Tribolium castaneum: one gene and its partner. The protein of the gene in region 1 purifies or fractionates together with the protein of each later gene. This does not show direct contact. Links are inferred from orthologs where the notes say so. Each region holds a gene or a part of one and is shown on either strand. Other genes may lie near its edges.

Region 1 (12,617 bases):
CAGGTCCCATCTCTCGACTTCCCCGAGATCAACCTCCTCATCGACGACCCCAAACCCCTTCGGTCGCACTCCCTCGACACCCTCCAGCACAACCCCCCTCCCCGACCCCACCGCAACAGCTGCCAAATCAGCGGTTACGAGCACGCCCGCCGCAAAAGCAGTCGCAGGAGCAGTGCCGCCTCCAGCCGGCGGCGGCGGGCCTCCCGCCCCCAAAAATGGATGACGCCCGAGCAAAAAGCGCGCGAGCGGAAACGGAAGTTGACGGTTTATGTGGTGGCGGGGACGTTTCTTTTTATCCTGTTTTCGTGCGTCTTGGTGGTGATTGTGACGCTGACACACAGGCCGGAGACGGGGAGGAATTGTACGTATCTGGGGGTGGGCATCTGGAGATGATCGGAAAGCTAGGGGATTAGCGGTTTGTTTGGATTTGGGGAACTAATTTTGGACGGTGGCGGAGGTTTATACAAACAGAATTAGCGGCGGATGGGTTTGAAAGGAATGTTTATGAGAGGTTTCAATAATATTTTTTTGTTTGGGAGGTTTATAAAACATGTTTTGTTTAAATTAAAATTCGGAAAAATTGTGGAAAAATAATTAAAGCTGCATTACAGCAAATCGAGTATAAATTTATTCATCCCAGCGATTTTACGTCGAAAATACACGACACTACAGGGTGATTAAGTTATTAACTTCTAATGCAACTAGAGCTCTAAAATTTTGTTAACGATCTAAATCGACCATTTTGAGTTAAACTAAAATATTTTCAAAATGGCCGAGCTTTCAGAACTACAAAAATTTTAAATAGTAACCACACATTTTTATTGCATATTTGAATTCACCTTTTCAAGCTGAGTAAAATTTACCTCTTGTTGGTGTCAGTTTTTTTAAATTTTTATTTGCAAGGGTTTATCTAAAATATCACAGCCCTTGGACCTTTTGCAATAAGTGAATATTTTTTTGCATTCGATAACCGAAAGTTTGAAAAGTTTTCTAAAATTTTCATAATTGTCAGCTGTCAAAATTCATGGCTAGGATGATTTTTTCAAAATGGCTTTCAAAAAACTGCTATAATCAGTTTTTTCTAATGGAACGACCTTATTTTCTTGACGGCAATCGAAAGAATATTGATATTTATGGTGACTTTTATCAACACGTTCTATACCTATCTCTTACAGTTTTTGAAAAAAATCACAAAAAACGAATTTTACTTCGTAATTTTTATAGGTAATCAAGTAGACCTTGTAAAATGATTAATAATTGTCAAACTTCAATATTTTATTTAGTTTTTAGCTGGTTTAGTATTGAATAAGCAGTAACAAGTAACAAGAATATTTAATTATGGTTTATTATAACTAAGTGAATTATGTACAGTAACTCAGTCAGTCTGTCATCGAATTTTGAACTTCTTGAATAAAAATTGTGAACAAAAAGTATATTTCTTTTAATTAATAGCACAATTTTATCGTATTTTTCAAAAGTTTGCTTGATTAAAAATGAAAATAATGAGCCAAATTTCTGTTTTTTGCGATTATTTTAAATACTGTAAGCGGTAGATATAGAAGATGTTAACAAGAGTCAGCATAAAAATTGATGTTCTTTTAATTGTCATCGAAAAAACAAAGCCCTTTCATTTAAAAAAACTGTTTTATAACTATTTTTTAATTATCATTTTCAAAAAATCATAGTAGCCTTGAAATTTGACAGGTGACACCTTTTGAAATTTTTGTATTTGCTTTCTTTATTGTTCGAGTAGTTTTGTTTTTTAATTTTTATAGTATTATGTAATGCAAAGTTATCATAATTAGTACTTAATTTTATATTTTCTTTGCAAAAATTAGAATTTATCTGAAGTAAATGATCAAAATTGCTTTGAATAACTGTATTTTGTGTATTATTTATTTTTTTAAATTATAGTTTTGTTTTACCTCAAAAAATAATCTTTTTTTTTAAATTATTACTCGAAGGAAAATTTGTTTTTGATAAATATTACTTATAATATAAATTCCATGTTGTGAGTTAATTATTTTGGAAATTTGGCTGACAATCTCAAAAAATTTGTCACAAATTCCTTCTCTTCCAATTGGCGCTTTTAGTTTATTTGAAAAAAATTCCAAAATTTTTTATCTAAAATTTTTTTTGTGTTTTTAAAAATTAATCTTAATGAAAAATTGCAACATTAATTTGAATCCGTCAAGTTTTTTCCACACTTGAATTTATTTCGCTTATATTGGAAATTTACTATAAAAAATTATCTAAAAGAAAAACCTAAAGTAATAATTTGTTTCTTTTGAGTTAATGTCTGTTCCAAGTTCAATATTCAGTATTTGTCTAGATTTAAATAAGTGACAATTTATCAGCGTGACAGAAAAATAAAAAAAATATATTTTTAATCTCCTCTAATTCATTCTCAAAACTGGGATCTAATTGTTATTGTCGGTAACGTATTTTTAAATATATGCGCTATCTTGAAAGCAATTTATCCTTGAAAAAAATATATTTAACTTTAAAAAAACACAGGTGTCGTAAAAGTAAAATAAATAAATCACTCTGATTTCACTAAAATAATGCAATTTAACGTAAGTATTTATTTTAACAATTTATATCGGTTCCAAACTGCTATGGAAGTGCGCTTGAAAAAATTCTAAAGTTTTACCAATGTATACACTTGAAAAAGTACTACTAACTGATTTTTTACCATATGCTACTTATTTATTTCAGTTATGATCAAATATACAGTGTGAGTCAATAGTGTTTTTTTTAACTCCTATAAATATGCAATCATTAATACCGATTTCAACTGTCCAGATCGATAGTCGTTAAAAAAAATAAATTTGATCTAAAATTACATTGTTCTAGGTAGTTTTAAGTTTGTCCTGACAGTTTTGCTAAAATTTCATTATGGATTATTATTATTAAAAAAAAGAAACTAGTGACGATTTAATTAATTCCAAGTGGTAAGTGCAATTAGTATTTTTGGTTGCATCTTAGGACACATCAGAAGTAACCTACTATTGACTCACCCTGTAGTTAAAGTTTTGAAACAAAAAAATGAAAATATGTGGGGAATGTTTTGCTCAAATCCATAATTCACAATTTTTATATTTTATCGGAACCGAAATAGTACCTTGTTTATGAAACATCCTTCCTTATGCAATATTTTAATATTTATTGGTCGTTCGTTACAGTTACGTATGCATTACACCCAGCAAATTTAACACCTTGTTGACAATATTTTTTATGACTTTGCCAAATGCTTGTTTCAGTTCGCAAAGAAAATGAAGAACTAATGAACTCCTTCGACGACCCAAACCACCTTCAAAACTTAACCGTCCCTGTCGCTTTGAAATGAGAAACTTTCTGCCGACCCCGACTTTTCGACCCATTGCCACCGAAATATCAAAAAAAAAAGACTGAACACACCCGTCAAAAGCTCAAAGTCCCTTTCGCTCTTTGTCAGTTTGTTTAGAATCTGTGTTAAATGAATATCAGCTCAATGGTCATAAGAAGTCCCGCAGTTCATCGCCGATTTGAGCGCTCAGTCTTGTCAATTAGATCACTTTCGACGGTGAAAAATCGGACTTCTTAAGTGTATATTTAGTGTTAGGTAGTTGAAAAAACAAACATTTTTATATAAAGTGCGAAGTGAAAATAGTCGTTTGATGAATGTTAGGTTTATTTAGTAAGTCATGGCAGGGTATATTCGAAGACTAACTGTTTGAACTAAGCAATTAGGCGAAAATAGATCACACTGAGGGATTCCTACATCATCAATTTTGTTCCACCCTGTAATCAAACAATTAAGACAATCAAACTAATCAAACTATATTTGAAATTGGCGCCGTGTGACGCACACGCATCCTAAATGATTTACTAAAAACTTACTACTTAAAAAAATATTAAATTATACTTAGATTCATGAATGTGATACCTAAACCCTCCATATCGCACAATGTCACATATTTATGGGTCTAGTGAGTTGTTGACGTAATATTAATAAAATTATCAACGTTGTTTGTAAGTAGACAATCAAAATTAAGGTTCAGATATATTTGTATGTTGTTCGAGCAATGTTGTATCAATAAATAACAATAACACGAGGACTATGTTTAATAATTATTTACAATAGGATTTGTTAACATTTTTAATGTAACTCAGTGTAAAGTTTATTAAATAAAGGTTTACCAAAACGTGCCTGTTTTAATTATTTATACAGAGTGTCCGTTTTTCGACCTCCATCTGTTATTATAAGAATACGAGGTTTATAATTATTATTAATTTTTTTATAATTAAACAAAACAGAAATTTTTAATTTTAATTTTTTCAAGGGAAAGCTAAAAACTAGACGTTTTTAAATAGGAAGTTCCAAGGCGTTCTTCCTGACTGCGTTTCAAACACTCAACTTTGGTTTTTCTTGGAAAGGTATATTCGATTTTTGTATTTTTGAAAAGTCTTTTTATTTCTGATTACAACGATGTATCACATGATATGATCGAATTTTACATGGTGATCAAAATGGAGAAAAAAAGCTTTTTTGCGAAGAGTGCTTTGGGGAAGACGTCAACAATTTTGTTTTTAAGCTAACTAGATTTTAGAGGTTTAATTCAATTTGGATCTGAAAGTTTCACATTTCCGCCAAGCTTACTTATTTAAAAACTAAGACATGATAAGCTACAATTTTACTCCTAAAGTTATAAATACTTTGCTCGCATGTTTGATAGAACTGTCAAAATATAGTTTGTTAAACATCATTCTTGACGTTTTTTCCAAAGCACTCTTTGCAAAAACGCTTTTTTCTTAATTTTAATTATCATGTAAGATTCATTCATATTATGTAATACATCGTTGTAATCAGGAATAAAAAAAACTTTTCACAAATACAAATGTTAAAAATGGTGTTTATAAGAAAAATCAAAGCAATTGGCTTTGAGAAAATCGCAAAATTACCACTAGTTTTTTAGAGTTATAATTTTTTTAATTTTATCTATTTCTGCCTTTATTTGGAATTTTCTTGAAAATTATTAGCCAAAGAACAATGTTTTTTTTTTAAAAGATAGATAATTGTAAGAGCTTTCCAACGCTAATAAACTTCCATAAGGTTATCTCGAATAGTTCGAAAGTTACTACATGAAAAATATTTTCGTTTTCCGACAAAAATCTCGAAAAAATGGGAAAAAAACTTTAAAATATCGAACCTATTGACTTTTTTGTACTTTCAACAACTCCGTGGGTTATGTAAAGGCATAGAAAAGTTTATAAAATTTTGCTAGTGAGTTAATTTTTTTTAATTTTTGAAAAGGTAAGTGCCTCGATTATTAAATTTTAAGCAGAAAATTTCAAAATATTGTGAAAAGCTGGTAGAATACATAAAACCAGCCGTAGAATTCACTGAATCAAACCGTTTTGCTATACGACTTTTGTCTTTATGATCAAAATCCAGAACAGCTTTGAATTTTGACGAAAAAATAGATTATTGTAAGCGATATCTGATTTTGCTCTAGATTTTATAAAAAAAAAGCAAAAAAAAGTTTCCCATTTTCATTTTTTTAATAAGCGTTTTTTTCCTTCGTGATTGATAAATTAGTGCAAACTGAGAGAAAGAAATGTAATCTAAATAGATAATTACCGTTCGAAATTCTTGAATATTTATGATAGAGTGGCGGTTTCAGACCATAAGTTAAATTTTCCGCTAATTTGGTAGTTTGAAAAACATTTCGCTAGAGGCCGCTTTGTTAGTTACTTCCATCGGTAACAGAGATACCCGTCTGGCGGGTAAAAATGTATGGTTATGTTCGTAGTCACTTTCCCGCCTTTTTTGCGTTATTGTTTACTCTGTTTTTCCCGAATTTTTCGTTCTAAATCGCTAAAACATGGATGTAGCCAACGTCCAGGTCGGCCAGAGGCAACACCAGGATGAAATCGGTGTCAGGTGCCAGAAATTATTCCAGGATTTCTTAGAAGAGTAAGTACCCCCTTACCAACCCCCCAATTGGTATTATCACACATGAGGCGCCCCCAGATTTAAAGAGGACGGCGAAATCAAGTATTTGGAGCCGGCTAAGGAGCTCCTCAACCAAGAGCGCAGCACTATTGAAGTCAGTTTTGAAGATTTAGAGAAATATAACCAAAATCTTGCAACGACCGTTATCGAGGAGTATTACCGGATTTACCCTTATCTTTGCCAAGCCGTCTCTAATTTCGTTAAAGACCGCAGCGATTTGAAAAAAGATAAAGAGTGTTATATCAGCTTTGTTGATGTTCCAACAAGACACAAAGTACGAGAATTGAAAACTGAGAAAGTTGGGACTTTGATTCGGATCTCAGGACAGGTTATCAGGACTCACCCTGTACACCCTGAACTGATTTTGGGGACTTTCGTCTGTTTGGATTGCCAAACTGTCATTAAAGATGTTGAGCAACAATTTAAGGTAGATTTTTTTGTTTTTGTTTTAAGAGCTGTTTATTAATCTAAATTCACAGTTTACTAATCCGACGATTTGTCGCAACCCTGTTTGCAATAACAGGAGACGCTTTATGCTAGATGTGGACAAGTCCCTATTTGTGGACTTCCAGAAAGTCCGGATACAGGAAACTCAAGCCGAGTTGCCAAGGGGGTGCATTCCGAGGTGTGTTGAGGTGATTTTAAGAGCCGAAAATGTGGAAACAGTCCAGGTAACAATTTTTCACCAAAAAATAAGTTGGCTACATTGATGGTCATGTCAGTCATTGTAGCCAACTTAATTTCATGTTACTAAACAAATGATTGAAAAAGGCCGGCGATCGTTATGACTTCACGGGGACTCTCATCGTGGTCCCGGACGTGGGGGCTTTGGCTCTTCCTGGGGCGAAGGCTCAGATCAACTCGCGTCACAAGGGTGGTGACGATACTGAAGGGGTTAGGGGTCTCAAAGCCCTAGGAGTGCGTGATCTTCATTACAGAATGGCGTTTCTCGCGTGTAGTGTTCAGCCCACTAACCCCAAATTTGGGGGTATTGAGATGCCTCTTAATGAGATTACTCCCGAAATTATGCGACAGCAGATGACAGAGGGCGAGTGGAATCACATGTATGAGATGAGCCACGACAGGAATTTGTATCAGAATCTCATCAATAGTTTATTTCCGAGTATTCACGGGAATGAGGAGGTCAAAAGGGGGATACTTTTGATGCTGTTTGGGGGAGTTTCCAAGACGACAGTTGAAGGTTGGTTTATTGCTAACTTTGTTCTAATCTGACTTGTCTTTATATCTTATGGACGCTAAGTGTTATTTCTTTTGCTAGAAAATTCTGAAAAAAATTAAATAACATTTACTATTTCTGTTGTTCTGAATGCAAAAAACTAGGAACAAAACAAGTCGAAACAACTCATTTCACAGATTATTTTTGCATAAGTTGAGGATTTTTTTATTAAGGGCAACAGTCCTTAAAAAATAAAAGAAGTCGCAGAAACTGTTGTCAACAAGTACAAAATTAAAACTTGTTCTTTTTGTTTCTATCAACAGAAAAGGACCAATTATTAAAAAAGACAGATTATTGTGAAAAAATTGGATTTTTTTTTAAATATCAACGATTCTTATTGAATAATATGTTAAATAAAAAAATAAGTTGAAAATTAAATTTTACAGCATTTTTGCAAGATTTTGTAACATTTTTACTTAACATTTCGCTAATATGTGAAATAAAATCAATAAAAAAAAAGACCAGTTATTAAATGAATGCTAGACTGCAGTTATTCCTGTAAGGAAAGTGGTTGTGTTACAAATATCACGTTGCATCTTAAATAAATACATATTTTTGCGCCTGTAAATGCAACCAGCAATACATCTAATATAAAGACTGCTCTAAATTTGTCAAATTGATATAATAATGAACTAAATAAGAATGAGGTAAAAAATGTTTATTAGAAAATGTAACGAATAGAGGAATTATTGGTTTTGAAATCAAATACAACACAAAAATCAATTTTTCTCACTTAACGGTAAATAACAAAAAAAAATACACTTACCTTTGTAGCATCTTTTTCTGTTGCAGTTTGTAGCAAGACATTAAAAATAAATTAAAAACAAAATAAACGCAAAAATGAGAAAACGAAATAATTATAATTCTGAATTAAACTAATTTGAATTAAGTTGACATTTATTTAACTTTAACTTTTCTAAAAATACTATTGCAGTATTCTATTTCATTAGCACACACTAACCGAAATCGGCACGCACTTTTCAACGATTTTGAAATTTTTAAACCGCAAAATTCTTTATTTATGTTATGAGGCGTCTGCATGCCACGACATCAAGTAACAAACTGAATAAGATTAAACGGCACAATAATAATTGTATAAAAATATGGATACAACGTTACAAAAAAAATCTGTGATATAAGAATTGTTACAAAGTGGGAAACAAACTGATTCATTGATCTTTATTACGATTACGTCATGTAACGTATTTTTGAATCGCTGAAATTCATTTCTGAAGCAAATAATTTCAGTCAACAGTTCGTAATTTCGTTATTCTGAAAAATACACTATTACAGAACCACCTCTAAGGAGAATTCTATCATTTGTAGTGTATTGAGACAAAATTCTATTTGTGCTTTCTGGAAATATTATGTCACGAAATTTTTTGGCTTTAAATATTTTTAACGATATTCTAGAATATTTGATAGGTTACTTAATAATGTCCGTTAATGCATCTTTACAAAAAGTAAATGTGTAATAGGTGGAAACTAATCACCAAAGAAACAAATATACAGGGTGTCCCAAGTTTTTTGGTCCGCGCAAAAATAAATATTTCTAGTTGAGTAAAAAATGATATTAATATGCCAAACGATGGAAAATTAATTACGCTGCAATATGATGATATGGTGTAGACTCACCTTACACAGGGTGGTGCATTTTCTACGTCCTAACTAAAGAGGTTTACAAAAAAAATGAGTGACATAATGTTATCAGCGCTTTTTTTTAATCACTCGTTTAGCTGTAATAACATAAAGTATTTTTTTAAATGAGAATCATAGTTGGCTATGACATTTTCGAAAAGCTTATTTTCTCCTGAACTGGAAACAATATAAATATAGTTTAATATTTTTATATATTTTCGATAAAAATTATATTTAAAATATTTGCAAGTAGTTGGCCATGGAAAAATTATTTCACACAAAAGGTGTGAATAATCTAGAAATTTTGTGGACGCTTATTAAAGTAAAACATGTGAAATTATCAAAATAAGCTATGTTAAAGTTAATTTCAATTAAACAAATATACGATCATCGCAGATTTTAATTACATAAAAAAGTGCAGAAAATTGAAAACGATGTGTCACTACCGTTTGTTGACACTTTTTTGTGGTTTAGTGTTTTTTTACCGCAGATGGGATTTGATTTTAGGGTTTGTATTGACATTTTTGGTAAAATAAAATTTTATTAACAGGCAGTTATATAATTAATGAGATTTTTCTTTTTCCGACATTTCATGTTTAATTAGAAAATAGAATGACAATATAAGCTTGCCATTTTAAATCTAACAACAAATAATTTTTATTAATTACAAATATTTTTTTAAATTAATTAGGATTTAAAAAATCATTAAATTATAAATACTTGTTTTAATTGAAAATCCAAAATTTTTTCATGGCCTACTATAAAGAGAAAACGAAATGTTTTGTTTTTTCTTAAATATTTAAAAATAATGTGTTACACAAATAGACGTATTTAATCAGAAAAAGATAAGCTTTTCAAAAATATCACAGCCGCCTATGATTCCTATTTAAAAAATTAAACGTTATGTTATTCTAGCTAAACGAATGGTTAAAAAAATCGCTGACAGCATTATTAAATTTTCTGTAAAAAAGTGCCTGCATAATGTCTGTGTTTCATATGTGTATCTTTCATAATAAGAAAGACATGAACTTTTTAAGATTTCAATTAAAAAAAAATCATATCTTCTTTATTATAAAAGATATACATTTTTTAAATAGAAATCATAGGCGGCTGTGATATTTTTGACACCCTGTACAGCTCTAGTTCCAAAAAAAAAACTGTTTTTGTGCTGTTCTGTTTGTGCACTTGTTCGGATTTCTATTATTTTAATAAAAAATAATCACTGTTAATAATAAATTAAGGGACAACCCTTCGGGGCGACATCAACTGCTGCATAGTGGGCGACCCCAGCACTGCCAAATCGCAATTTCTGAAACAAGTTTCGGAATTTTCCCCTCGTTCTGTCTACACTTCGGGCAAAGCCTCCTCGGCTGCAGGTCTCACAGCCGCTGTGGTGCGCGATGAAGAATCCTCCGATTTTGTGATCGAAGCTGGCGCTCTAATGCTTGCCGATAATGGCGTTTGCTGTATTGACGAATTCGACAAAATGGACCCACGTGACCAGATCGCGATCCACGAAGCCATGGAACAGCAAACGATCTCATTGGCCAAAGCCGGAGTGCGGGCCACGCTTAACGCCCGCACCTCCATCCTAGCTGCAGCCAATCCCATTGGAGGGCGCTACGATCGCGCCAAGTCGCTCCAACAGAACATCGCGCTAAGTGCGCCAATCATGTCCCGATTTGATTTGTTTTTTATCCTAGTTGATGAGTGTAATGAGGTGATTGATTATGCTATTGCGCGGAAGATTGTGGATTTGCACAGTAATGTGGAGGAGGCCCTCGACCGGATTTACTCAAAAGAGGAGGTTTTGCAGTATATTTCGTTCGTGCGGAGGTTTAAGCCAATCATAAGTCCCGAGGCTGCGGAGTTGCTTGTGAGGCACTACAACCATTTGAGGTTGAGGGACACCACAACTAGTGGTAAATCAACTTGGCGGATTACAGTACGCCAACTTGAAAGTATGATCCGATTGGCGGAAGCCATGGCCAAGATGGAGATTTCCGACGAAGTCCAACCAAAACACGTCAAGGAGGCGTACCGCCTACTTAATAAATCCATCATCAGGGTGGAACAACCCGATATACACCTCGACGAAGACGCAAATGCGCCAATGGTAGAGGACGACTCGGAAACCATGACTCAGGAAACTGAGCCGCAACCAATCAGGAAGAAGTTGCAGCTGAGTTTCGAGGATTACAAAGTTTTGAGTAACAAGATCGTGGTGTTTATGCGACGGGAGGAGGCGAGGAGGGATGAGGAGAACGAGGAGGGGATCAGGAGGAGTGATTTGGTGGAGTGGTACTTGAATCTGATTGCGGAGGATATTGAGTCCGAGGAGGAGTTGTTGGAGAAGAAGGAGTTGATTGAGAAAGTTATAGACCGGTTGATTTATCACGTGAGTTGGGTGGTTTGGGGTAATGTGGTTGTGATTGGTGGTTTTAGGATCAAGTTATTATTCCCTTGACGAGGACGGGGCTTGGGAGGGATCAGCAGGAGGAGGAGGATGCCATGTTGGTGGTTCATCCCAATTATATTATCGATTGAGTGTACCTATTTTTTTTAATAAAAGTTAAGTACTAATAAGTTTTTTAATAATTTGCCCCTTTTTAAGTTTTACTCCATAATTTTGGAAAAAAACAAACGAGAATAACTTACCAAGTGTTATCATTGGTAGACTATTTTTTTCTAGTATTTTATTTTAATTGGAAAACAGTTGATAATAAAGGGCTTTTTGATTTTACTTAAGCACCCAAACAGTAGTAACAGTTATTGTTAAATAATATTGCTTTTTTAATGGAGAGTACAAGAAGTTTTTTGAAACAAATGACAAATGACTAATTTTTAAAAACATCAATTGAATCAACATTGGTTTTTTATCTTCAGAACAATGTAATTGGGGATAAATTTTGAAATTTTTAAATGAGTACCGATCTGGTCAGCTGGAATCAGTATTATTGGTTGCATATTAACAAAAATTCAGAAATAACTCATTATTGACTCACCCTGTATAAACCCCTAAGATAATAAATTGTTCTCAATTTTTTTCGGGATACTTTTAGCGCACCCTTAGATGTTATTGTATTTATTTTGAAGGTTACTTATTTAATTTTTTTTAAGGCACTTTATTGCAGCAATTTTTTTGTATAAAAGATTATGCTCTAAAAATGACTTCTAATTTAATAATATTATTTTTCAATCAGTGTTTTTTTTAATAATTGATTTACATTGTGTTCCGAGCTTACTACGACGATTTTCCGAATTTGGCCGAAGAGATTTTTGAAAAACCTTGAGCTCGGAACACAACTTTAGTAATTCATTAAAATTACACAATTTTAAAAACAAAATTATTGATTTAGAGGTGATTTTTAGAGCATAATCTTTTACCAAAAAAAATCGCCGTAGTAGGGTGCCATTTGAAAAAAATATATTTTTTTGGATAACTCAAAAACTAAACGGAATTTCGAAAAAAAATTTTCTTGAAAAGTAATCACATTTTAAAAGTAGTTGATGATGTACTAATTATTTTTTTCGTAAGGTACATAGTTTAGGCAAAAAACGCTTGGTTCCATACTTTTGCCCAACCCTGTATAATAATAATTGACAGCATAAATAAAACTTAATAATAAAACGAGCTTAATAAAATTGATATTACAGGAAGCGCTGTTTTGTCATTTAATAATAATTAAATATTTTCAACAGTTTTACCCAAGGATGGAGGATGAATTTAAAAAAAAAACGCAC
Region 2 (10,872 bases), on another chromosome or scaffold:
CGCATTTTTTCTCAAAATTAGCTGTTATAAATTAATAATGCACTTCAAAAAAATAATAGCTTATGTAATTTACACTTTCAATCACACACCAAACCATTAATAACTATTTTACAATTTTATCAATCTTATTTGAAAAAATTATTTGGTAAAATGCGACGTTGGCCTTTTTATAGTTTTGAAACAGCTTATACAACTAATTTCAAGTGCTTTATTATCGCTAACAACTCAGACATTTACTTTTTTACGTGTTTTTTTTTTTGGAATTGTTAGTCAATTGGACAAGTTGAAATTCCAATCTGATTTTTTATTAGTTTGTTTATTTATAAAAAAATCTCACGAGTGTTGGAGGCAAAAAGAAGCCAATATAAATCAGAAACTCTAAAAATCGCAGGTTCGAATCCTGCTGAAAACCTTTTTTTTTCCATAACCATTCCACTTTTAACCAAAATTAATTCTGTAACCCACCTTGTGATTCCTCCTCTGTCCCCAATCCCTTCGGCAACGGCATATTTCCCCCTGTCATCAAGACCAAAAAAAACTTTTTCGCTTTAGTTGAATTCGGAAAATCAACAACAACCCCGCCATAAAACCCCGCTTTCATTGCTTGTGCCGTAACCAACTCCATTTGTTCGCTATTTTCGGGATAAAACTGAAAAACGGCCCGTGCTGACCGGCTCTAGAACCCCAACATGACAAAAAACCTCTCACAATTAACCAAACACAAACCAGACACGCATAAAGACTGCTAAAAAACTTGTAAATCCTTTGAACGGGATTGTGCGACTTTTTATCAGCATTGCACAACCACTGCAACGCGCTTATGCTAATCGCGCCATCGAACGACCCGGCCCGAAAGGGGCACCCTTGCCCCATGTCTGACAACAAAACGTCCCCCTCGACCTCCCTTTCAAGGGCCACATCTAACATGGCCTTGGATATGTCCATACCGACCCAGAAGTGCCCCTGATCCTCAAGGACGCTCCCGCTAAGCCCCGACCCGCAACCTATATCAAGCAAATAACACGGCTGGTCTTCAGGCAACAAAAGGAGCTCAACTGCACGCTCACTCATCTGCATTTGAATATCAATAATTCGAGAACTAAAACGAGTCACAATGAGTAAAAATTGCAAAAAAGCGGCCGTTTCTATACTTTTGAGTGTACTTCCGGGCCTCATCTTCGTTGTAAAACTAAAAGTTAGGTTAGGTTTAGGGTCAGAATTGGGGGCGTACTTACGATTTCGGGTGGCGCCAAGTGCTCAGGACGCGACATTGGTGTTTATTTAGGACCAAAACAATAACAACACATGTGCTATCTTAGGATTAAAAAGTAATCAGAATTGAGGTTAGTTAGGGTGAAAATGACCACTAGGGAATTTGTCTGTTTTAATTTCACGAACTCCGACCCGAACGTTTGTGTAGTAATTACAATCTGCCATCTATTGTGTTACTCATGGTATTTTGGGTGATAGTAATTGAATAGCGTTCAATTCCATTCGTCTAAATAAATTAGAAACGCAAAAATAGTTTTATGTTGGTACGGCTGCCCCTCCACCTTGCCCACCAACGGTTTGTTTTGGCGCTTTGGAGGTTATGATGCCCCATTGTCGGATTTCAAATTGTGTTTAAAATGTACGTTGAGAATTTAAAATTGGATTTTTACGAATTTCTCACAGGCAAAGTAAGTCCCCCTTTTAATTGTCGCCCACTTAGCTGCCCCTTTTAGCGCATTTTGTTAATGGTCCACTACGACATCGACAGCATTTGTGCGTGTAAAATCCTCCAAAACCTCCTAAAGTACAAGGAGATTCTCTACACCCTTGCCGTAATCCGAGGCGTCGAGGACCTGAAGCGCTCGTATCGTGAAAACAGCAACGACGTTAAATATTTCGTCTTGATTAATTGTGGGGGCACTGTGAACCTAGTCGACTTGTTCGAGCCGGAAGAAGACGCGATTTTTTTCATCATCGACTCGCACAGGCCCACACATTTGGATAACATTTACAGTGACGGGCAGGTCCGGTTGTTGTGGACCTCAGAGGAGGACTTAGAAGTGCCCGACTTTCACGCAGTTTATCGTGACGATGTCAGTGGCCCCCTTCTTACGGTCGATTTTTTTATCGTGTGATTACAGAGCGATGAAGAAAGCGACGAAGAACCCGAAAGTGGGGACGAAGATGAGGGAAGAGCTGCCAAAAAACGGAGATTGAACGAAGAAGCGATTCTAAAACGACGCGAACGCAGGCTTTGGGAAGCGAAACGTTTCGATATCATTGCGGAATACTCGCAATACACGTACTACAACAAGGCTGTAAGTTTTTAGTCGATTTTGAAATTAAGTTGGTGACACTGATTTTTTCTCCAGAGCGCGATCGCGATGTTTAAACTCGCGTGGTTTTTGAATAAGGACGATAAGGACTTGCTTTGGTTGGCAATCGTGGCGCTGACAGAACAGTACATTTTAGGCAAAATTGAAAATTCGCAATATGTTCTTGCAGTTGGGGAATTACAGTCGCATTCAAACCGATTAAGGAACAGATCGAATGATACCGACGGTTTAACTTCACTTAGAATCACATATGAGAACGATTTGAAATTAGTTCTGTACAGACATTGGTCGGTTGAGTCTAGTCTTAAGTATTCAATGTTTACGGCGTGCAAATTGAAGTTGTGGTCGCATAGAGGGAGCAAGAAATTGTACGAGTTGCTGGCCGATATGGGGTAAGTAGCCGTTGATTTTTATTTATTTTTTAAACACCCTGTATATTGTGGCTTATGAGTCTTTGGATGAATCAATTGTGAAGCTATTTTTTAATGAAATTATTATTTACTCGTATAATTTCCACGGCGTTGACAGGCTCAGCTCAATTCAGCTTGCGTTTTTTTTAAGATAAACTTTGTCAGATAGGGTTTGATTGCTTGAAATACTCTGTATAAAGGAGTGTCGAGTGATTGTATTTTTTTGGACGTATTGAAGTTTAAATCAATTTGTTTGTGCAAAATTTTATTTTTTACTTAAAAAAAAATATTTAAAAAGTATACAGTGAACCTACTAAAAGTTTATTTTTACTGTATTTAAAAACTAAAAACTAATTATTATTCTTATTAGAAATTATTATTAGAAAAGTTAGTTGCAAAGCGTTTGTTTATTTCACCTAAAAAGAAACTAAAAAACTTCATTGAAACTAAAAAAAAAATTGAAAGTTTTTTCTTTATCTCTAAGGTGACCAAAGCGAGTTTATCTCAGTTAACAAGTTTAAAGTGCATTACAGGTGTGCTCTGTATACCGGGTGTTCTAAAACCGGCGCACCAACTCAGTGGTGTGTGAGACATAAGGAATTGCTTACATACAGGGTATATCAGAAATACGTGTTAATTTTACCACGTAATAAAACTCATGAAATACAGCAATACTGCAACTTAAGAAAACTCATCAAGTACAACAACTTTTCTATATCACATTTTACAAAATTCTTATTTACAATTTTCACTGTTTTCCTCTTTTCTTTAGTGCAAACGAGCCGGTCAGTGTTTAATAATTAGTTTGTATTCATAGCAGTAATTTTCATTGTTTTAAATTGTTTAAATTGTCCGTTTTTATTACAACGAAAATAGTTCGGCTCTTAAGTAAATTTGTGAATTTTTTATTGAAAATTTACAAATGAAAAGATGTTTTATTTGTTGAGTTCTGTTACCCGTTAAAATTAAGACACATATTTCTGATATACCCTGTATAAAGGTAAAAATAGTAATTTTAAATAAATGCTATGTGCCAACGTTGTCAAAAATTCTTTTCTTGTAATTCTTTGTAATAAATATTAAATAAAATATAAAATCACTATTAATTAATAATTAAAATTTTGTCATTTCTTTTACAAAAAGTATACCTAAAAATTTACTGGCCCCAAAAATAACAATTATTTTATTTTTTATTTTTTTGGGATTAACGATGTTTTTTTACACAAAACGACACTAATGCTGATTAATTCAGTTAACTAATAATTATTAATAATTGGAATAAAATTTACCGACGTTAGGACAGCTTCCATAAAAGGTTTTAATTAAAACGTCGAGTTGCAACGTTTCGTTTATATGTATAATAAACTTCATCAGGCTTAAATTATACATAAAACTACAATATCACCACAATTGATTACAAACCTTTTAATATTAATAATAAATAATAAATAGTTACTAAGTAAACGAGTTATTAAATGAACATTTAAATTTAAATTAAACCAGTTAAGAAATATTTGATTTCGGACAATTTCTTTTATTTAAGAAACATAAAATAATATAAGAAATTAAAGTTAAAAGATCGTCTTACTACCAGCTTTCAAGTCAATGATCTTCCGTAGAAACTAGTATGAAATGGTGATTTGTAGGATGCGAAATTGTGTATTATTTGTTCCATTCCACTTCACTAAATCATAAAAAAGTGTCATCAAATGGTAGTGACATATTTTTAATTTTCTTCACATTTTTTATGTAATTAAAATCTGCGACGATCGTATATTTGTTTAATTGAAAATAACTTTAACATAGCTTATTTTGATAATTTCACATTTTTTACTTTAATAACCGTTCACAAAATTTCTAGTTTATTTACACCTTCTATGTAAAATAATTTTTCCATGACCAACTACTTTTAAATATTTTAAATTTATTTTTTATCAAAAGTATGTAAAAGTATCAAACTGTATTTATATTGTTTTAAGTTCAGAAAAACATAAGCTTTTCGAAAATGTCAGCCAACTATGATTTCTATTTAAAAACATACAATTTTAAGTTATTACAGCTAAACGAAAGGTTTACAAAAATCGCTGATAACATTATTAGATTCTCTGTGCCTGTATAATGTTTTTGCTTTAAATGTGTATCTTTTATAATAAGGAAGATATGATTTTTAAAGATTTCACTAAAATGTCAACTTTTGTTTATAAATTGAAAACAAAAGACGATAGCGGGATTCGGTTTTTACCAAAATTATTTTCTCAAAAAACGGACCCGAGAATGTGTCAATATTTTTTCTCTAAACTTCTTAGTTTCGGAGATACCACATCCGAAATGCCGCACCTTGTACATAATATTTAAAATTATTTTTACTTAAAAAAATCAAGGATGTGCCAAAAAGGTAAGACATACTTAATAAGTCAAACGGCTTATAAATTATGTTTAATTTTATTTATAAAGCTCATGCTTATACTTTTCAATGATTCTCCCTTAAAAAAGATCCAAGGTGGGTGGCGGCAACAAGGTGGGCTCATTCTCAACTTGCAGGTTGCCCTTATCGCAGAGCCAGCAGGCGTTCGAATCAATGGATCTCCAACTACGTAAAGAATTCCACCAAAGTATTGAAAAATTATCGGAAAAATACAACTTAGAAGATTTAGTTTTTACCTCATTTGTGTTACAATATGGCTACCGGAATAAATATTGTGCGTCTGACATTGTGTACGCCATGTTTGCAATTTTGGAGTCATCGGTGATTTATCATTTTGATAATTCTCTCACATAAATAGCTGTTTTTAGCCGAAGGAAACGCCAGAAGAGTGTTTTAATTCGGCACTTGATTGCCTCACTCGTAATAAAAAAGACGTAGTACAAAAAGCAATAGAACGTGCAAAGATAATCACAAAGACGATTTTTAAGACTGTACAAGCGGCCATTGATATGAAACAAATTATCACAGCCGGGAATTTTGTTTATTACATCATACAAGAAGTGAGTTGAATTGTTAGTCAAGTTGTTTGATTTTAATTTTTGTTTTATAGGGTTGTTTAGACTGGTATATGTTTTCAAACCAATATATTTTGTTATTGTTGGCACAATTTATATTACGGGCTTATGTGTCAATGTCACGGAATCGTAAAGCCCCTGACTTGCCTTTAATTATTTCAGCACCAAAAAATCTAGATTTAGGGACGTGTGTTATTTTGGGGATTCCACCGCTGAGGCAAAATTCACCCAAAAAGTAACTAAACTAAACGTACAGCCGCCCAAAAAGAAAATGACGCGACCATAAACCAATCCCATCATAAATCCTTTAATTTGCTGTTTAATATGTTTTTTAAAGTAAAAGGTTTTGTTGCAAAATAATTGATTTATCGCGGAAAGAAAAAAATTAAGAAAGGATTGAGTTCGAAAATCTTAAAGCAAAGTTTTAAAGCTTCAAGTTTTCTTAAAGTTATAATTTTTCATTTCCAAAAAATTTGTGGCAATTCAATTTAAAAAAGAGATTATTTTTTGTGGGTTCGCTTTTTTGAATTCAACAACTTATAAAAATTAAACAGATACAAAATGCAGTGACAATTTAACTACTTAAATAATTTATGAATTGGAAATGGTATTGTAAATAAAATGAAATAATAATTGGGCATTTAGAACCGGTTAACTTTACAGAAAGCGAAATTAAAACTTAATTCGGAATAAAACTAATTCGACATTAAGTTGCCACTGAAAATAGATTGACAAATGTAAAGTTAATCTCAGAAAAATTTTTATTGCAATTAAAATGTTCTGTAAACCGACTCTTGAACTTATTTTGCATTAATGAACTAATAATTTAAATTTGCAAACAAATCGACAATTTTTCTGCCCTCTTAAAGGGTCAAAACGTCGTGACAAACTTGATTTTTTTTAATCTTTCATTTGTTTTAAAAAAAATTATAAATGGTTATCAGTTTGAAGAAGAATTGGAAAAATTTGGTCTTAAGTTATCTCTTGTGGTGACTGTGGTCTTGTGTAGGTGTTGTTAAATATTTCCAGTGAACCTTATTTGCAGTAATGGTCAAAATTTTAATCATGGTATTTCCATAAATGAAATACTTTAATGTTCATTGATAACTTTTTTATTCTGGTTACACTAATTGAAACATTTAATAAACAAAAATTTTAATAAAACCTTTTTTGTGGTTAATAATTAAAACGATTAAAAGTACAGACATCTTTACGTGAAATTTGAAATACAATTGTATTACTATAATTTTGTTTTCTATTTTGTTTTATGAACAATTTATGGACAGTTTTATGGATATTTTTCAACTTTTAATACAGTTAGAGCTTTAAAATTTTGTATATCATTTAAATCGACCATTCTGAGTTCAACTAAATTGGTTTCAAAATGCCAAAATGCTTTCGGAACTACAAAAAATTGACGCCAAGTTTGAAATTTTTAAATAGTAACCACACATTCTTATTGCATATCTGAATTCACCTTCTCAAGCTGAGTAAAATTTACCCAAGTTGTTGGTACTTACCTGTTATAGTTTTCGATATATGTCAATTTTTTTGTTAAAATTTTTATTTGCAAGAGTTTATCTAAGAAATCACATCCCTTGAACCCTTTGCGATAAAGTGAATAATTTTTTTGCAATTGATAACCGAAGGTTTGCAGAGCTTTCTAGAATTTTCGAAATTGTCAACTGTCAAAATTCATGGCTAGTATGATTTTTCAAAATGGTTCTCAAAAAACTGCTATTAACTCTGTTTTTTCAACTCGAACGACCCCCTTTTTTTAATGGCAATCGAAAGAATATCCATATTTATGGTGACTTTTATCAACCCGTCCTATACCTATTTCATACAGTTTTTGAAAAAAATCCCAAAAACGGATTTTACTTTTTAATTTTCATAGTTAATCAAGTAGACCAGTAAAATGGTCAATAATTGTCAAACTTCAATATTTTATTTAGTTTTTAGCTGGTTCATTATCCAATAAGCAACAAAACTGAAAAGTAACTCAGTCAGTCTGCCATCGGATTTGGAACTTCTTGAACGAAAATGGTGAACAAATCGAACATTTGTTTTAATTAATAGCACAATTTTGTCGTATTTTTCGAAAGTTTACTTGATTAAACATGAAAATAATGAGCTAAAATTCAGTTTTTTGCGATTATTTCAAAAACTGTAAGACATAGATATAGAAGATGTTAATAAAAGTCTGCATAACAATTGATGTTTTTTTTGACTGCCATCAATCATTTCATTAAAAAAACTCTTTTATAATCATTTTTTAATCATCTTTTTTAAAAAATCATATTAGCCTTGCAATTTGACAGTTGGTAATCCTAAAGACTTAAAAAGACTCTTTAAACTTTTGGCTATCAAATGCAAGATTATTCACTTATTGTAAAGGGTTCACGAGCTGTAATATTTTAAATGAACCCCCGCAAATGAAAATTTGTATAAAAAAATTGACATACGTCAAAAACTATGACAGATAAGTACTAACAACTGGGTACATGTTACTCAGTTTCAAGAAGCGAATTCAAAAATGCAATAAAAATAGGTGGTTACTATTTCAAATTTCAAAGTTGGCGCCAATTTCTTGTAGTTCCGGAAATTTTGTCATTTTGAAAATAATTTTGTTGAACTCATAATGGTCGATTGATTTAGATTGTATACAAAATCTTAAAGCTCTAGCTATATTAGAAGTTAAAAAGTTTATAATGTCGGCCCCAAAAGAATCAGCCTGTATAATTTGTAGCAGTGAGATTTTATAAATAATAATTATTTTTTAATTTAAAATATTTTTTGGACAACCGATAGCAAAGTGATCTTTCAGTCTTTAATGAAAATACTACACCGACAACAAAAAGAAATGATCTTTTTTTTAATTGTCACTTATTTTATTTTGCAACAAAAACTTTAATGAAATAAATAAATCTTCAATTTTTTTCATTAATTCGCAAAGAAATAAGGTTTTTTATGGACGCGTCGTTTTCTTTTTAGGCAGCTGTACAATTTGGTGATTTTATTTTTATATTGTGATTTTAGTAATTTAGGCCGGGCCTTTGAGGAAGCAGCTGAAAATATAAATTATGAAGTCTTGTCGGATTATTTTGACACTTCTTGTAAGTTAATTTTTTTGTTTGTTTGTCGAAAGTAGTGGATTTTTTCAGATTTTGAGATTAATATCAAGGACAGGACGAGGTTTTTTGACGCATTGACTGCACTTTTCGACAAATAAAATAGTGTAAATAATTTTTTTTATTTATTTTTCAATTGTATATAATTGTGTGAATTGACACTATTTTATAGGTAATTAAATGCTACAAAACAACAAACTGTACACTTTTGATTAACTCATCTACACTGCTACACCTTACACCACCTAACTCTGTTCCTCTCCCACTCGTTCGTTCAATTCGATGAATTTCACTTCGCCTTTTTGGAAGCGCTCGACGAAGTCGCTGACGGAGTCGACGGTGATTTCCACGCCGTACTCCATGACGGCGAAGCGTCGGTTGGGGATGTCGATGCCAACGAGGAGGGGCACCACGTCATCGAGACCGATCAAGTCGCGGAGAATGTCGCTGGTTTCGGAGTCGAGCCCGATGAGGAACTGGAGGTAGTGGTCGTCCTCGCAGTTGGAGAAGAAGTCCTCAGGGGCTGAGTTGAAGTTGATGTTGTGCTTCTTGTAGTAGGAGTCGGCGGCTGGGGACAGGACCGATTCTGCGAACTGGAGTTCGGTCTCTTCGCCGTCTGGGAAATAAAAGTTTGTAAAAAGATAAAAATAATTGTTAAAAAATTACTGTTCTTAACATACGAGTGAACATTATATACAGGATGAATCTTTTAGGGCCTACATTACAAATTTTTTAACTTCTAATATAGCTGGAGTTTAAAAATTTTGCATACGATCCAATCTGAGTTCAACTAAATATTTCCGAAGTAGTTGAGCTTTCTCATCTACAAAAAATGGCGCCAAGTTTAAAATTTTAAATAGTAACCACACATTTTTATTGCATACTTGAATTTACCCTCTCAAGCTGAGTAAAATTTACCCAAGTTGTTTGTACTTACTTATCTGTTATAGTTTTTGACATATATGTAAATTTTTTTGTTAACATTTTTTTTGCAAATGTTTATCTCAAATATCACAGCCCTTGAACCCTTTGCGATAAGTGAAGGTCTGAAGAGTCTTCTAGATTTTTCAAAATTGTCGACTGTCAAAATTCATGGCTAGTAGGATCTTTCCACAATGGTTATCAAAAAACTGCTATATCTTAATTTTTCAAATGGCACGTCCTGACTGTGACTTTTATCAATGCGTCCGATACCTATGTCTTACCGTTTTTGAAAAAATCACAAAAAACGGATTTTAGTTGGTAATTTTCATAGTTAATCAAGTAGACCTTGCAAAATGGTCAACAATTGTCAAACTTCAATATCTTATTTAGTTTTTAGGTGAGGTTCATTATCGAATAAGTAGTAAAATTATAATATTTAATTATAGTTTATTATAACTTAGTGCTGTAAAGTAACTCGCTTAGTCTGCCATTGAATTTTGAACTGTTTGAATGAAAATCGTAAACAAATTGGATATTTTTTTTTAGTTAATAGCACAATTTTATCGAATTCCTCGAAAGTTTACTTGATTAAAAATGAAAGTAATGAGCTAAAATTCTGTTTATTGCAATTATTCAAAAACTGAAAGAAATAGATATAGATGATGATAATAAAAATAAAAAAATTGATGCGCTTTTGATTGCCATTGAGGGGTCATTCCATTTGAAAAAACTGTTTTATAATTATTTTTTGAGCATCATTTTCAAAAAATCATAGTAGGCTTGTAATTTGATAGTTGGCAATCCTGAAGATTTGAGAAAACCCTTCAAACCTTTGGCTATCAATTGCAAGAAGAATTATTCCCTTATTGTAAAGGGTTCACGAGCTGTGATATTTTAAATAAACCCCTGTAAGTGAAAATTTGTATAAAAAATTGACATACGTCAAAAACTATGGCAGATAAGTACTAAGTACATTTTACTCAGTTTCAAGAGGCGAATTCAAAAATGCAATAAAAATAGGTGGTTACTATTAAAAATTTCAAAGTTGGCACCAATTTCTCGTAGTTCCGGAAAATCAGC

What was found.
Region 2: the proteins of Mcm6 (region 1) and Cdc45 purify together in Drosophila melanogaster (affinity purification with western blotting; 3 studies listed by BioGRID, with this or other methods). This does not show direct contact. The link is inferred for Tribolium castaneum from reciprocal best matches to the Drosophila melanogaster genes Mcm6 and Cdc45.

Annotation. Positions count from the first base shown.
Region 1 is NC_087400.1:6,011,198-6,023,814, reverse strand, and holds the start of Mcm6 (DNA replication licensing factor Mcm6), read left to right. Parts: upstream 1-5,758; 5' UTR 5,759-5,867; coding exon 5,868-5,959; intron 5,960-6,016; coding exon 6,017-6,425; intron 6,426-6,477; coding exon 6,478-6,669; intron 6,670-6,769; coding exon 6,770-7,199; intron 7,200-10,114; coding exon 10,115-11,271; intron 11,272-11,318; coding exon 11,319-11,420; 3' UTR 11,421-12,617. Other genes in the region: uncharacterized protein LOC103313261, read left to right, coding at 3,264-3,349. UniProt on the Drosophila melanogaster protein: Acts as a component of the Mcm2-7 complex (Mcm complex) which is the putative replicative helicase essential for 'once per cell cycle' DNA replication initiation and elongation in eukaryotic cells.
Region 2 is NC_087401.1:7,771,380-7,782,251, reverse strand, and holds Cdc45 (cell division control protein 45 homolog), read left to right. Parts: upstream 1-1,483; 5' UTR 1,484-1,628; coding exon 1,629-1,679; intron 1,680-1,724; coding exon 1,725-2,084; intron 2,085-2,132; coding exon 2,133-2,309; intron 2,310-2,363; coding exon 2,364-2,719; intron 2,720-5,278; coding exon 5,279-5,483; intron 5,484-5,530; coding exon 5,531-5,722; intron 5,723-5,772; coding exon 5,773-5,972; intron 5,973-8,776; coding exon 8,777-8,853; intron 8,854-8,901; coding exon 8,902-8,969; 3' UTR 8,970-9,066; downstream 9,067-10,872. Other genes in the region: probable 18S rRNA (guanine-N(7))-methyltransferase, read right to left, coding at 466-676, 727-1,099, 1,152-1,189, 1,236-1,271; nucleoredoxin, read right to left, coding at 9,114-9,484.